2 linked regions of the Lonchura striata genome follow. The protein of the gene in region 2 binds, or shares a complex with, the protein of the main gene of each other region. Links are inferred from orthologs where the notes say so. Each region holds a gene or a part of one and is shown on either strand. Other genes may lie near its edges.

What was found. The genes of interacting proteins can lie anywhere in the genome.
Region 1: the proteins of MYBL2 (region 2) and LIN9 are in contact, whole or in part, in a crystal structure (PDB 6C48), measured with the Homo sapiens proteins. The link is inferred for Lonchura striata from reciprocal best matches to the Homo sapiens genes MYBL2 and LIN9. Residues at the interface, in NP_002457.1 of Homo sapiens: Trp663, Ala667, Cys668, Gly669, Gln674, Met677, Gln678, Ala681, Arg682, Leu684, Leu685, Arg687; in NP_001353174.1 of Homo sapiens: Lys356, Gln385, Arg386, Tyr388, Ala389, Thr390, Val392, Leu393, Leu395, Glu396, Asn399, Leu402, Asn403, Leu406.

What each region holds. Positions count from the first base shown.
Region 1 is NC_134605.1:17,659,960-17,667,975, reverse strand, and holds the start of LIN9 (protein lin-9 homolog), read left to right. Parts: upstream 1-4,932; coding exon 4,933-5,011; intron 5,012-8,016. UniProt on the Homo sapiens protein: Acts as a tumor suppressor. Inhibits DNA synthesis. Its ability to inhibit oncogenic transformation is mediated through its association with RB1. Plays a role in the expression of genes required for the G1/S transition.
Region 2 is NC_134619.1:11,069,569-11,077,519, forward strand, and holds the start of MYBL2 (myb-related protein B), read left to right. Parts: upstream 1-4,949; 5' UTR 4,950-5,056; intron 5,057-5,469; coding exon of another isoform or gene 5,470-6,219; intron 6,220-7,951. Other genes in the region: IFT52 (intraflagellar transport protein 52 homolog), read left to right, coding at 1-19, 1,165-1,273, 1,764-1,909, 2,485-2,532; uncharacterized protein LOC144247204, read right to left, coding at 5,470-6,219. UniProt on the Homo sapiens protein: Transcription factor involved in the regulation of cell survival, proliferation, and differentiation. Transactivates the expression of the CLU gene.

The DNA of each region.
Region 1 (8,016 bases), on a different chromosome or scaffold from region 2:
TTGTTTAGTTAGAAGATAGATGATTTTTCACCCTCTAAATAAGCAGTTTACAGTTCAGTTTGGGACCAGGAGTTGAAGGCAGCTGCTCTCTCTGTCACCCATACTAGAGATAGCTGAAAGTTCCCTGTTGTTCCAACCCAAGCAGCACAAGGAGTACTTCGTGCTGTGTATATAGTGCTCAGTTGTAATTGCAGCACAAGCAAGTGCATCACAAACTGTCCCTAACCTCACAAATACAGCAGGAAGAGTACAGGACTTTCTAAAGAGGTAGCAGGTACCCTTTGGGGACTGTAGGAGAGCCCTGTCACTGTCCTGCAGTGAAATCTGATGTCAGCCCAAGTGCTGCTTGTGCTGCCAGCTGTCCGAGCAGAGCGGATCCACTCTCCTGGAGGTGGATGAGAGGCCTCTCCCCGGGGCCAGGCTGGGAGGAGCAGCATGTGCCACTCACTGAAAGCATTGCTTTGGCAGTGCGAGCACAGAGCAGAGCTGCGTGAATAGGCAGCCCCATTTCTGTCAAAAGCACTTGAAAGGAACGACTTTTCAAGACATTAGGTCCCATGACATCCTGTGCTTTTTTCAGGGGAAACATGTTGAGGAATGGCTTCTCATCTAAATGTTAAACTACCAAAAGCAGTAATTTATAAATATTTAACTGTGTTGTCTTTATTTGGCATTGTGGCAGGCTCTGTTGTACAACGGCTCACAGACATTAAGATAGTCTATGCAGTTAATTGAAGGAAGCCAGCCTAGGCTTACTGATTAGCAGTCAGTGTAAATTCTTTGTGACTTGCCCGAGTTCATGCAGGGAAAAAATACCTGAGAAAAAAAAATTAAAGCACAAGTTGCCCATCCTGGTATTTTTGCCATAAAACAATGACATTCTGCCCCTGCCCTTCTTCAGTTTCTAATCAGCAGAAAGTGCAGGGGGAAACTTCCAAACAAATAATTTCTATATGAAAAAGACCTCTGGGCACGTGAAACTTGTCAATGCCATAAATAATTGTACTCCTGTTCTTAAATGAGGCCTGCAGTGTTTGTAATGACTGAGGTCTCTGCTTCAGCTTGTTTTCAGGGGGATGGTTACAGACCTCACTGTGAATTCTGGGGACATAATGATGTAATTGTCTGCTGAAGTGCTATTGCAGCCAATTTATAGCCCACTTAGTGTTTTGCCTGAATTGCTTTTATGTATGTGTTGAGGCCCCTGATTTATTCCATTATACTTATGCTCCTGTTATGCCCATAAAAATAGTTGCCACTGTTGTGGAGTACATGCATCTGAACAAGAGTTTGTGTGTGCTTTCACTTTAAAATTAATGCCAGGCTCTTCTCCAGAAATGGTCATTTTGGAGATGAAGTGGCACCTGTGAGAAGAAAATGCAGGTGCAGGTCCCAGCCAAGATGAGTTGCTGTGATGATTTTAATTTGTTCTGGTGTGAAGGTAGCATGTGGGTCTGTTGTGGGCATTTCAGATCACTTCCACAGAAGTGAGATACACAGGGACAGGCAAGATGAGAAGAATGACTTCCTAACAACTCAAAGGAGAAACTACTGCTTCAAAGGGAAAACTACTACACCCTCTCATTAGAGTCTAATTTCATAATGTAATTAATGCAGCAGGACTCAAAACTTCACAAGAAGATGCTTCAGTGACTAAAGAGCACTCTCTTCTGCCAGCTGTCCTTGCTTTTTTTCCTACTGCCAGGGCCTGCCTAGGGGAGATGAGAAAATGGCAGCATAGCTGTCCCCTGGATGCAGCACTACCTGCTCTGTACTGACAGGACTCTGAATGCATTGGTCAGTAGGTGCTGTAACCCATGTCTTACTATCATCTGTAGCAACTGAGGAGTAATGGGAGTGTGGCAGTGCTCTCTGCAGCATTTCAGCACACACCATTAGGAGCAGTTGCCTAATGTGACCCTGGCAAGAGCGAATGGCAGCAGTGCAGCCATTTAGAGACCTCCCTGCAGCTGTGCCACGCAGGTGAGTCAGCAGCACCTAAGGCAGATTGTTGGCAGAGAGCACAGATGTTTTCAGTCACCCTGCCTGTCAGAAGAGTTGTGTCATTTCCACGTCACCCAAGTGCAAACTGCATGTTTGCCAGAATGGTAAAAGGATGCACTGAAAATGTGTGTTGGTGTGCACACTGACCAATGGCCCTGGCTGGGGCTTTGTAAATGGGGTCGCATCTATGTGACTTGGAAACGGCAAACACAGGAGACACGAAAAACCAGAACACAGAGATACAGCATCCAATAAAGGCCAAGATGTAAAAGGTTATTTATCCAGGAATAAAAATACAGTGTTGATTGTTACCCTTTCAAAATAGTGAATGGTAATGGTTTCTGTTAAATATTTTCCAAGTGCAGCTGTTGGAATGAAATGAAGGAATAATCATCATTGTGCTGTTGGGAGCGGAAGTCTATCTTCACACCTGTTAATTTGTGAAATGATTGGCAGGAGATGTTTGGTGAGAGGGAAAAATCTCACCTTTTTCATCTGGTTTTGTTGCAGTCTACAAAGACTCCCTGAAAGACACTGAGCTTGATTCCTTTTTCATTTTCCCCTTGTAGAAATTCATACTCTTGAGGACTGTTGCAAAATGTGATTGTGTTGTAAAATACTTTTCACCCCTCCCAAGCAAAGCCCTTGCTCAGGGAAAGCTCCAGCATTGGGATGGCTCTGGGCAACGCTGGCAGCCACACCTGATGACAAGGTTCACAAAGCACAGCAGTAAAAACCTTGCTGATGATCAGTGTCTCTGTCAGCTGTGGAAGTCTCAGTGTCGCCAGTCTGAGCTGAGCATTACCATACAGCCCTTGGAACAAGGGGAGCACAGCTGAAGTACAGAGAAATATTGGTGTCATTAACATGTTGTTTAACTGAGCCTGGAAGGTTTGGTCCATGTCAGGCGTTCTGGGTGGTGGAACTGTTTTATTAAAAGGGGAAAATTGTGCAGAATTTAATGCTTGGGGGAGTTGGTGTTTGATGTAGCACAGATTACTATTTAGTCATGTTTTGTTACTAGTTTCTTTAGTGTTGTTCTTTTCAAGTGTCTACGGTAGCAGCTTTCTTTGGAGCTGTACAGTATGGAAAGCTCCAAGTGAGGTGTCTTAGACCCTTTGGGGGCTAAGGGGAGGGAAAGCTGTTTAAACAACCTTTCAAAATGATCTGAAAAAGGGGCTGGAAATGCAAGCTAGGCTTTGTAATTTTTTTCCTCTTTTTTTTTTTCTTTTTTTAGCTCTGCTACAATGTGCATAGAAAGCCCTGGGGGGAATTTCTAAAGCATTTCACTCAGTTTGTTTCTTCACTTAAAAACTGGCTTTTTCCCCCTTGAGCACAAGGGCAACATTGATTTTATTTATTTATGTGTTAAAATTGTTTAATAACATGACCTATATCCTGCCCCTGTCAACCTGCTAGAGTGCCTAGTCATCTGAGTTCATTAGCAAATTAAGAACACAAACTCTATTCCATGTCACAAGATAGACATTTTCTGTATTGTGTAGAATCTTTGGTTTCACCTAGGTGCTTTCAAAGACCTGCATACAATGAGGCATAGCATCCATTTTGTATTATACCACTGTGCTCTTGGCAATATGTTTAACATGTGACACAGATTTAGCCTTTACTAAGATATACTGTTTATTTATTTTGAGGCTCAATTTGCATTTTTACATTTATTTTTATACCTTAAAAAAAGGAATTTTGGTTGGTATAATAGTGTTATCAAAGCCAAACTATGTGGAGAGTGTGGTCCATGAGCAATTAAGGTGCTTGTGGTTCATGATGGTATTTCCATGCTTATATTTATTGATACTTTAGAATTCACTGTAGTGCAGAGATCTGAGAAAACTACACCAAAAAAACCCACTGCTGCTGCTTGAAGAAAGCTTTCAGGGGTGTGATGGTAGAGGGCAGGCCAAGACAAGGAGCTTGTTAGGCAACAGCCACCCACTTCTGTGGTTTGTTGGCTTTCCCTGGCACCGGGTGAGAACAAGTGAGACCTTGACCTTCAGGCCTTGGGCTCGGTGAGCATTTCAGCCGCCTCTTGGGCGAGGTGCCACAGGCTGTGACAGCAGGGCCAGGGCTGGCTGGGCCGGGATTGTTGTGATCCCGGACTCCTGGAGCCTCACCTCAGCAGTCACTTATGAAAAGCAACAAGGAAAACTGGCAGAGTTTAGCAAAAAGTTATTACTCAGTGAAGGAGGATGGGTATAATGTAATGGGATTGTTTAAAGACTCAAAGCTAGCACAGCTACTTCGGGGTGATCCTTTGTGACAGCCAACACCTCCACCCCTTTCCTCCCATCCTGAACTGCCAATCACACATTCCCCCCCATCCCGCATCGTAAGAATCGACAGGGAACTGCTGCAGCAAATTTAGAGAAGCATGGTGGTGATAAGAGGACTGGAGCACCTACCCTATGACAACAGGATGAGAAAGCTGGGGCTCTTCAGGCGTGGAGAAGTTTGTGTGAAGACCTCATGGCGACCTTCCAGTATCTGAAGGAAGCCAGACAGGGACTGTCAGGAGCTGCAGTAGCGACAGGACCATGAGTAATGGGTACCAACTGAAAGAGGGGAAAATTAGGTATTAGGAAAAAAGTCTTTCCAGTGAGGTACTGGAACAGGTTACCCAGAGCAGCTCTGGCTAGCCCAGCCCTGGAGGCGTTCAAAGCCAGTTCGGATGGGGCTCTGAGCAACCTGGTCTAGTGGGAGCCGGTGGCAGGGAGCTGGAACTCGACTGGAAGTAGTGTGAGGTCCGCTCCGAGTCCTTAGCGGGCCCCGGGCCGGCGGCGCTCCCTCCCGCGCTGCCGAGCCGCGGCTGCCGGGAGCGGCGCGCGGGCCCCGCCGCCCGGCCCCGCGCGGGCGCAGGCCCCGCCCCGCGCGCGCGCCCGCCGCGCGCCCGGCCCCGTCTCCTCCCCCAGAATGCCCCGCGCCAGGCAGCCTTTGAAAAAGCGGCGCGGCTCGTTCAAGATGGCGGAGCTGGATCAGCTGCCTGACGAGAGTGAGTAGGGACCGGCGCCCCCGCTCCCGCCGCCCCCTCGTCCCGGCGGGACACCCGCGCCGCGCCCCGCCGCCCGCCCGCCTCCCTTCTTCGCTCCCTCCCTCCCGCCGCGGGCGCTGTGCGGGGCCGGAGCCCGAGCCTCCTCCCTGGCAACCGGGCCGGGCCGGCCCCCCCCCCCCCGCCGCCGCCCCTCCCGGGCGCGGTCCCGGCCCGAGCGGCGGGCGGGGAGCTCCGTGCCGAGGGTGCGACCCCCGCTGCCCTCGGGGGTGCCGGGGCCGGGCCCCCGCCCCGCCCGGGCGGCACCTGCCGGGCAGGCGGGGCGGGAAGCGGGAGCCGGGCGGGGCGCAGTGACAGCCCGCCCTGCCCGCGGGGGTCGGGGCAGTGCGGGGGAAGCAGCGTCCTGTCCCGGGGGAGCGTGAGCTGCCCGGCGCTCCGGACCTGGCTGTCGCCCATGGGGGCAGGAAGGGCTCGTGTATTCGTAGCCCGTGCCGCGCACGGTGCGAGCAGCTCCGCAGGGCTGGGGGTCAGGGCGTGCACACACTGTGTCTAGGGGGCACTGGTGAATGCGCAGGGAACAGCTCAGAGACCTTGTGTTGTGTGTCAGCAGCAGGAACCTGGCTGTACAGGAAGACAGAATGTAAACATGTGTTTTCGTGCCTACAGTTCTGTATGTCTGCACCTCGAGTGCTGTGTCCAGCTCGGGGCCCCTCACTGCTAGAAGGACACGGAGGTGCTGGAGAGAGTCCAGAGAAGGGGAGTGGAGCCTGGGGAAGGGTCTGGAGCATGAGTCTGATGAGGAGCAGCTGAGAGAGCTGTGGGTGTTTAGCCTGGAGAACAGGAGGCTCAGGAGTGACCTTACCACACTCTACAGTTCCTGAAAGGAGAGTGTAGCTGGATGGGGATTGGCCTCTTGTCCCAGGCAACAAACGAGAGGGCATAATCTCAAGCTTCAGCAGAGGAAGTTTAGATTGAACATTAGGAGGAATTTCTTCAGTGAAAGGGTGATTGGACATTGGAATGGGCTGCCCAGGGAGGTGGTGGAGTCACTGTCCCTGGAGGTGTTTAAGGAAAGACTGGATGTGGCATTTTGTGCAGTGGTATAGTTGACATGATGGTGTTTGGTTAAAAGCTGGACTCCATGGTCTCAGAGGTCTTTTTTAACCTCATTGATTCTGTGATCTCCATAGGGTTTGTGTGGATGTTGTTTTCAAAGAGTGCAAGGATTTAATAAAAACATAGTGTAGCTAAAAACCAGATATATGTTGCTGTATGTGTGGATTCATGCACAAAGTACTTGAGTGTTACAGAAAAGGAAATTATTCCATATAAAATGCATCTAGATGACATCTCTTACAAACTGTGGACTGCCAAGCTAAAACTAGGGCATTTACTAGTTTCAATAGGTGTGCACAGAACAGGGCAGACATCTTCTGGTGACACCACACAAGTTCATCAAGCTACCAAGTCCTTCCACATCCAAAGATTCTCAGAGAGAAGTGACTCAGAGTGGAAATCTTGCTTCTGGCTGCTCCATGCGAGTCTTTGTTACAGCTCCAACAACTGTCAGGAAAAAAATTGGTTAATGTGCCCACATGGCCGGTGTCATTGTGTTAACTGAACAGATTTATGGAGGATCATCATAAATTATGGACAGAGCTGACATTCTCAACTTAGCGCAGCTCAGTCATGGATGCTGTGCTCCATTTAGAGACTGATTAATACAAGTCATGGGCCACTTGATACGACTGTAATTAATAATTAGCTGTGGTTTATTGCTTATTAAATGAACTTTCCCTGTTCACTAGAATGGGCAATGTTTAAGTTACCGTTCCTCCATTTGCCTTGCCCATTTTCCAGAGAAAGCATGATATGTTTCAAGAAGTCAGTGTAATGATGAAAAATAACTTTTTCTTCTCTGTCATTTTTATATTGCCTGCAGTGGCATCAGGAAGGTTTGACAGATCTGTCACTTCACCTGTAGCAGATACCATAGTAGAGTGTGTGACTCCGTTTCCCTTAGGATTGGGCGATGCTGGCAACCCTTGCCAGCTGTGTCAGTGTTACAGGCTCTGCTTGGCAGGTGAAGCAGACACTGTGTGGTTATTTGTAAAGGCAGTAAACTTCTGCTGTGCTGACTTTGACCTTAAGGTTTGTATTTACCTACATTTGGTGCAAGCTAGGGGTGTTTTCCATCAGACAGGGAGCTTCATGTTTTCTGTAGCACTGCTGAACTGCTGGAATTGTGAAAGTTTCAAGGAGTGGTTGCCTTGTGCTTCCATTCCTATGCTATCCAGTATTGGTGATCTGCATGTTTTCAAATCACACTAGTTACTGCCACACATAGTTCTTTCATTTCCAGTCCTATACTTAAAATGAAGATGTAAACTTAGTCCTGGCTAATTTAGCACTGACTTCATGCAGCTCTCAGTCTGCAGCATAATATATCAAGGATTATAACAGTAAGTATTGCAAAGTTGTTTTTGGAATATTCCTATGGTATAAAAAAAAGTTCCAAAAAAATTCTGAATAGTTCATTACTAAGAGCCTTTGAGATTTATGCATCACCCCTGTGAATTTTCTCCAAAATAGTTTATAGTAAAATAGTAGACCACTACTGAGCTTTCACATAAAAATAATTACCAGTAAACACAGCATACTTGATGACAAGAAAACTGACATTTTGCTGTATGGTAAGAACCACACAGTTTTACTTTCAGATTGGATGTCTGATGAAGTGGAGTTTGTCCCAGAGTATTCTAATAGCACCTTCTTGCCCTCTGGCAGGTTCTGTAATGCAGCTGGGCAGTGACTGTTCCATAACCCAGGAGTGAGATGAATGTAATGCACCCAGTTGTCTCTCATGATATGTACTTGTTTTATCTGCTAAAGTTACTATTCTGTTCTTCTCTAAAGCTGCTATTCTGTCCATATAAAACGGTGAGAGGCTTCATGCTGACAGCATGAAATGGTGCCTAAGTTTACATGCATTTCTTGTAGTTTGAGGC
Region 2 (7,951 bases):
ACCTGTCCTCCAGCCAGCTGTGAGTAATTTTCTTGCTTGTACAGTACAGGGAGAACCCTTATCCACAAAGGCTGGACTTGGTAACCTTGGATGTATATTCCAACCTTAATGAGTCTCTATTTCATTTGTTTCATGCCAAACCTCTGTGTGTCATTTCCATGGTTCTGTAAAAGAAGCAGTGAGAAATGCTGTAGTAATAACTAATCACTTGGGAGTTGACTACACTTTAGGGACCGTCTTTTAGGAAAGAGCACTAATTTACATTTCAAATTTATTAAAAGAACTTCACACTGTAGTGTGTGGTACCAAAACAGAATCCTTGTGTGGTGAACCTTTGATTGAGTGGCTGCTCCCAGTCCTGTGAGGTGCTGGCTCAGCCTTCCCAATGAAAACAGGATGTGCTATTTCAGAAAGCTGTGGTGGTGAAGGTACTGCACTGCTTGTGCCAGGGAGGAGCCAGTCTGTCCTGCTCTGCCTCCATCTCCCAGATCCTCAGGGGAAGCAGAAAGCAGAACATTGGTCTTTTACATCAGAAGCTGATCAAACTTTAACCAGCAATGTTTGGGCAGACAGCAACAACACAAACTATGAGGGTGTCAAACTCATTTCAGAAGGCAAGAATCTTGGTATCTGAGTTTTGCCATCATTGTTCCATCCTTCTTTACCCTGGCCACTGAGAAAGCATTTCTGATATCCTTTAGAGCTTCAGGAGTGCAACTGAAAGTGGTGTCTCCTTCACTGCTTTTTAAAAACCCAAGTCCAGCTTGTGACATAAATGGTGCCTGCATGAAACAGAAAATACTCTGACCAAAATTGATGTCAGTATGTTTTCAGGGTGAGCTATTAGGGCCAATTTAGTTCCTCAGCTCTCAGCTATCACCTGGGTCTCATGGAGCAAAACTGAAACTGCAAATAAGAATGTCTAGTTGTTATGCTGGGTGATAATTCTGGCATACATGTGACTAAATTCTTTTGGAATGTTCAGTTATTTTTACAGCATAAAAATGGAATTTTCAAATGCTGCCCCTTGGTTCAGTGGCTTTGGAGTTGCTTTTGACTTTTTAAAAGGGCTTCTTCAAGTCCAATATAAGTTCAAAACTGTTGTCTTAGAGATCTGTAAAGAAAAATGTGTGGCAGTCAACCATGCTGCGTTTTCTTTCCAAGGTCTTTCCACCTGCTTTCAAAGAATTGCCTCCTCCTGCTCTGGAACTGTTTGACTTGGATGAAACTTTTTCCTCAGAGAAAGCACGTCTTGCAGAGATTACAAACAAATGTAAGTGGAGAAGATTGTTTGCACGTTTAAAATAAAAGTCCAGTTTTTTTAGAGGAAATTTCTAATATTGAATGTTAAAGCATGCACCTCATTTGGGAAATCTACTGCTCTTATCCTGATCTAAGAAATTGAAAGGCTTTGGAAATTAATAGCATGACTTTATGTACCATGACATTATGTTTTGTCTGTTGCATGACATTTTATCGTGTTTCTTCCCGTTTCCTATATTGTGCATTGCTTTGTGCACTCTTGCTGATAAATTTCACATCTTGTTTATGCTTTTAAGTTAAAATGTTAAGATTATTATAAACACCTAAAGAAGATGAGCAGGTACTGGCTGCAGGAATACGTTATGGCTAGTCCACTGAGCTTAGTGATGGGACTGAGCCTCCCAGGATGCCAGCAGCAAAAGGAGATTCAGAGCAGGTTTCTGGCCAGCTGCTCCAGATGTGTGAGACTCACCTGCCTTCTTCCCTGGGTGCTTGTTTAGGCACTGATGATGACCTGGAGTTCTACGTGCGGAAATGTGGTGATATCCTGGGAGTGACCAGTGAACTCCCAAAGGACAGGCAAGATGCCAAATATATCCTGGAGCACATCTTCTTCCAAGTGGTTGAGTTTAAGAAACTGAATCAGGTATTTTTAATAGCAATTACAAGTGAGTAGTTGGTAGTAGCAGCAGTAAGGGTGGTGTATCATTGTAGCAGTTACAGTTGTCACAGGCAAGAGGTGATGTGAGACATTAGCTGTGCTATAAATGAGACCAGTCAAGTGTGATCCAGAGTACTTATGACTCTTAATCTCCATAAAATGTGTACTGCTCAATTTATTAAGTCTCTCATTTATTTTAATTGGGGAATTAGTACATGCAAGTGTAGTTTGTAATTGCAGCTAAATCTGGTTCATTAGTGGTGCCTGAGTGAGAGCAGGGAGCCCTCAGGAGTGTTCACTGCTCTGGCCAGTGCTGCTGTGCAGAGGTGACCAGCATTGTTCTTCAGGAGCTGCACTGAAATGCAGCTGTGCTGAAAGAATTCTTCATAGCAAATTTAACGTTTCAAAGTGTGTTTGGAGCATATTGGCAGAGCAACAGTTTGTGCTAACAAGAATTGTCTGTTTCACATAATCTAGTTAAGCCAAAAATCTTACAGTTCTACCCTGTTGTTAAAACTCTTTTTTCTTCCTTTTTTTTCCTTCCTCTTCCCTTACTTAAGGAACACGATACTGACCAAAGTGAAGCTGGATTCCAGAACAGTACCTGAGAGCTGGCTTTCCCCAGTTTGAGATAGACCTTTTAGGGAAAGTATATTTTTCCATTTTTAAAGTCTCTCTTCTCAGTGTATTGATTGGGACTGTCTCAGTAGTTCACTGGATGCTTGGATCATTTATGTGTAGTAGTTCAGATAATTAATGCCTTCTGGGGAACTGCTTGTATTTCACAAGCACTTTCCAAAGAATTTCTTATTTTTCTACTTCTTTATTGAAACTGTAATTTTTTAATATATTAAAAAAATAATATACCAAGAAAATGTGTTTTGGGTCCTTTCTGGCTCCAGCATTTATTTTCTTGTAGTTAAGTCTGCCTTACCTGTTGGTTCTCCTGTTGTACATGAAATCCTTAATTGCACTGTGAGAAGGGTTGTTATTTTGGTTTGTTAACTTAGGACAAAAAAATAGAGCCATAATTTTAGCAGGAGCTGCTGAAAATACATGTATCACCCTGAGGCAGCCTCATTTTGTCTCTCTGCCAAAGAGAACTAAGGAGAGGTGAGTTTGTTACTGTAGAAAGAAAACATTTCTTCCAAGGGAGGGGCAGATTTGAAATTAAGCAATAATGACATTGTTGCAGATTGCTGCCTCATATCAGACTGGAATTACAGAATTTTAAAAAGAGAGGACAGCACATGGATGCAAACCTTAAGATTGAGTGGATCATTATTAAGACACTGATACTGCACAGAAATTAATGGATATTTTTACTTCCATTTATTTGATATCTAGTCCACTCCCTGAGGTAGTGAGTTCAGTAATACGCAGGAGTGGAAATCCAGGTTAAATTAATTTTCCGTGAAATGTTGAAGCTCAATGCACAGCAAAAATAGAGCCAAGGAGATCAGTGGTGAGAAGAAAAGATTTTTGTCAACATCATCACCACCACACCTCTATTGCAAGGACTTGTTTTTATGTTAATGTGGTGAAATTGCATTATAAAGCCTTTTTTGGCTGTCAGACTGACACTCAGATTGTTAAATTCTTCCCCCACTCAGGACTTCAATGACTTCTGTGTTTTACCTTGCTCTGCCATGGTTTTTAAAATCAGAACTGCTTTTTGCAAAAAAACCTGTTCATCTTTTTATCCCTCCAAAATACCTTTTTGTTTTACATTTCATGCTTCACATAGCATTTTGGCACAGGTTTTTCTAAAGGAGGTGCCCCAAAGCCCCTGCCAAGTTCCTGCCCAGTTGAGATGTGCTAATGTTAGCAGAAGTGGTTGTATCTCTTTCTCCACTGCAGCCGTTCCCTTTCACAGCAGCATGTTGGAAATTTTTCATTTCTTCTTCTGTTTTCCTTTAAGGCCGTGGTTGTGTTTGTCACCCAGAGCACTTTGTACATTCCAGCTCCAGATTTACACAACAACCTTAATCTCTTCTCCTGTGCAGTAGCAATAGCAATCAGTCAGCCAGCACAGGGTGCAGCTGAACCAACCCCCTGAGTGCTCCTGTTGCTAATTATAGCTCCAGTTTGTACTCTTCTGGGGTGTTTATACTTCAAACTGTAAATAACTTTCTGTTTCCAAGTTGTTTTGTCACCTGTTTCTGATGTAACATGGTTTAAAAAAAGCCATGTGAGCAGCCCGGGGATACAAGCAGCTCCCTGTTTTCTGGGTGTCTCTCAGGCCTCTGACAGCTGAAGAACACATTTTTTTACTGAATGGATGTTTTTCTTACTAGTGTGGAATACATGTAGCTCACATCTCTCTTTCAAAGCTGTCCCTTTGGCCCTCTGGAAGTATTTAAACTGACTTTGTTACTAGAAACACTTTAGTCATGAGAGTATGATGCATATAAATTTTATGGCTGACTGACAGAATTTCCAAGGAGTAGAAGTAGGTGAGTGCTTTCAAGAGGTGAGGTGAGGCCAGGGGGAACACGTTGGGCAGGTAGCTAGTGAGGGAGTTAATATATAAATCAAATTTCTGCTGTGATTTTCAAAAGTTGGTTTCAAGCAGCTCTTGCTGCTTTCCCTTTTTTTCTCTGTCCTCTCATGCAACATGACTCATTATCCCCTAATATGCCCCTAAAAGAAGAGGGGAACAGTACACTGGTTATAGAGCAAATGTCCTGAAAAGCTGTTTTAACAAGTTCTTCCTCCCTTTCTTTGCTGTAAGCAGAGACAGGAGAGGAAAATCAGGATTGCATATGGGTGGGGTGCGATCTAGCAGGAGAGCGTGAAAAATCTAATGGGGTGGGTGCGATGGCCTAGGCTCCTTTCCTTGCCTCGGAGCAGGGTTTGGATGTGACAGAGGAAATGGTCCCTGCGCGGTGGCGGCTTGCCGCGGCCAGGACGAGCAGCGGCACCCCGCATGAGGCAGGCGGGCTGTGCCCGGGGCGCTCCCCGCTGCCGGGCTGTGCTTTCCCGGCGCGCCAGGAGAGGGATCCGCGGCCCCGGGCGCGCCTCCGCCCGCGCTCCCGGCGGGCAGCGCCGGCCCCGCAGCCATGGCCCCGCGGCTGCGGCCGCGTCCCGCTGCCCCTTCTCCGCCGGGACCCGCCCCGACCCCTCGGCCAGGTAACGGGGGCGGGCGGGCGGGGGTCCGGGCACCCCCAGCTCGGAGGGGGCTGCACGGAGGCCGGCTCTGGGCGTTCAGGGGGCTCAGCTTCAGGCCGGGAGGGCAGCGAGAGTCAGGGACCACCAGCAGAGAGACATTTATATCTTTATTGTGCTAATACAAAAGAGCGATCGGGGAGGAGGAGGAGCCAGCAATGCTGCGGCTCTCGGAGGTGCCATCACCAGCTCAAACATCCCCCACCACCAGTGCCGACTCGGCCACCCCAGGTGAGCAGATTTAGCTCGTCACCAGCTGCTGCCATCACCACTCAAGCCGCTGGCTCCATCTTCTGTGCTGCAGCGTGGATCCCTGCTCCTCGCAGGAGGGGAGGGGGCAGGCACCAGCAGCTCCAGCTGGAGGCAGGGCAGCAGCATCACAGAGCCTGCTGCAGAAACACAGGGACAGCGTCAGGGTCACTCAGCTGGGTCTCCTGGGTGGCAGACCTGTGGATCAGTGTGGGGTGCTTCTTGAAGGCACTGGGCCAAGCCAGAGGAATCACCACAGGGGTCTCCAGGGATGATGTGTCTGGTTTGGAGCATCCCAGTAAACGTAACTCCTCTGTGCTGACATCGAGGGATGTACTGGTATCCATAAAGGATTTTATTGCCGAGATGTCCCACCTGGGTGCTGGCACTTTCCCAAGGGCTGAGATGTCACCAGCCAGCTCAGAGCTCTTGAAGAGAAGGCTCTCCAGGGGTTTGAAGTGCTTGTCTTTATTGCAAGGTGTCGAAGTATTCTGTGATCCCACATTCATCAGGCAGCTATCTCTGCTAGGGTGCTCACAGGGCAAACCAGACAGCTCACAGGTGGCCTGGCCATGGTGGGCCTTGCAGAAGCAGACAAGACTGAGGTCAGAGATGCCCTGGGTCAAGCTGTGCAGCTCCGGCTTCACACAGCTGGTCAGAGACTCTGCCTGCTTGACAACACACAGGGAACTGCCACTTGCTGTGCTGTCCAAGTCCATGGGAAGCTCCCAGGTTTCATGTTTGGAAGCACTGCTAGAGTCCTTGTAATAGCTCACAACAGGAGAATAGCTCTGGCTGGAGGAGCTGGCCAAGAACCCGTTTTCCAGGATTTCCTTTCTGGTCACAATGCTGGTGCTGTGCTTCTGGGTGGACAGCATGGTGCAGAATCCAGCAGCTCTCTGGCTTAGAGAGATAAGGATGAGCCTGTCAGGATAAACCTGTTACTATTCACTAATGGTTTACAGACTTACAGTAGCAGGACCACTCTTGGCAAAATCCCATCTCACTGTTGCAGGACCTTGAGCAGGTTTCAGGACATGCAGGGGCATCCAGCCTGGCTCTCTCTTTTAGAGTAAAACAACTCCACTACAGCCTGTTAGTAGCTCAGAGGTCATAGCAGAATCTCCCTGAAGCTGTATTTATTTGACCTCAGCCTGTATTATCACTAGTCTTAACTTTGTACAGGGGATAGAAGCATTTTAGCCTCACTCCTGCAGTCAGAGGACCACTCACCCCAGCTAGAATTGAATCCCTCTGAGGAGGCACCAAAACCAGGCTCTGGCTAGGATGGGAAAAGTTGAAGGGCAGGTCTCATCTTACTTTTAGTGCTGTACACAATAACTCTCACCTCCAGCTCAGCCAGGAGCTGACTTCCAGATCTTTCCTGAGAGACTAGGGCAGGCCAGGGAAGGGGATAGCTATATTCCCAACCCAGCTTTACTCTGAATACATGCTAAACAGTCATAAATAGCGTCTGAATTTACTGCAAAGGGACTGTATGGTCAATCTAGAAGGAAAGTATTATTTAAGAGACTAAAACCATCTTATCTTAGCATATAAGAAATGAAAGAATAAGAAAACAATAAATAGTACCTTCAGCTCCTGTGAAGACCCTTTGAGGTTCCCAAGCCTTTTCTGCCAGTGTTACTTAGAGCAGTTTTATAGTTCTGGTAATCAATTAACAGGCTGATTTCCTAATTAAGCTAGTTTGGGAGAGGGAGGGGCTTCTGTTTGCCTCTTTTTAAGCACAGGGGTAGTGAAGGTGGGCCATGGCTGACTGATGGAGGTACTCTGAGATCTGTGAGGGATGGGTTATATTTGTCCTGTCAAAGAACCTTAATAAGGCTTTACTTTCTTTTAAGTGTTGCCTTGTGTTTTGTGAGCTGTTGATTAGGAATATCCACAAGTACAGACTTTTCATTGATGAAATAGACAGTACGTGTTGGAATATTTGAGTAATGCTCTCAGGCACAGGGTTGAACTGTTGTAGCTGTCCTGGACAGGGCCATAAGTTGGACTTTGATGATCTTTGGGGGTCCCTTCCAGCCTGGAATATTCTGTGATTCTTTAAGGTGTGATGTTCCTGCCCTGTGCCTGAGGCTGCTACATTTGGGAGGCTCAGGTTAGTGTGAGAGGGCCTGAGGGTAGAAATGGGGGTCCAAGGTTGGGGGGTGTGAATGGAGGGTATCCTGGGCTGGTGTGGGGGGGAAGGGGTCCCAGTGGTTTCAGGTGGATGAAGGGGTCCCGGGAGTCCTGAGTCCATGGGGACGTGGAGGTGCTGAGGATAGAAATGAGTAAACATGGGTCAGTGTAGGGCAGGGTGAGGGAGAGTCCTGGGTCAGTGTGGGGGATCCCCATGCTTTGGGGTTGGTACAGGGGTGGATGCAGAGGGATCTTGGGGTCGGTGCTGGGCCGGATGGGGAGGGTCGTGGGGGGCCCAGGTCGGTGTGTGGGTGGATGAGGAGGTTCCTGGTGGGAGCTTGCATCAATGCGGGGCTGGATGCGGTGGGACTTGGATCAGTGCAGGGTCGGTGCAGAGGTGGATGTGCGGGGTCCTGGATCGGGTGCTGTGTTAGATGTGGGGAGTCTCGGCAGTCCCAGTTCGGTGCA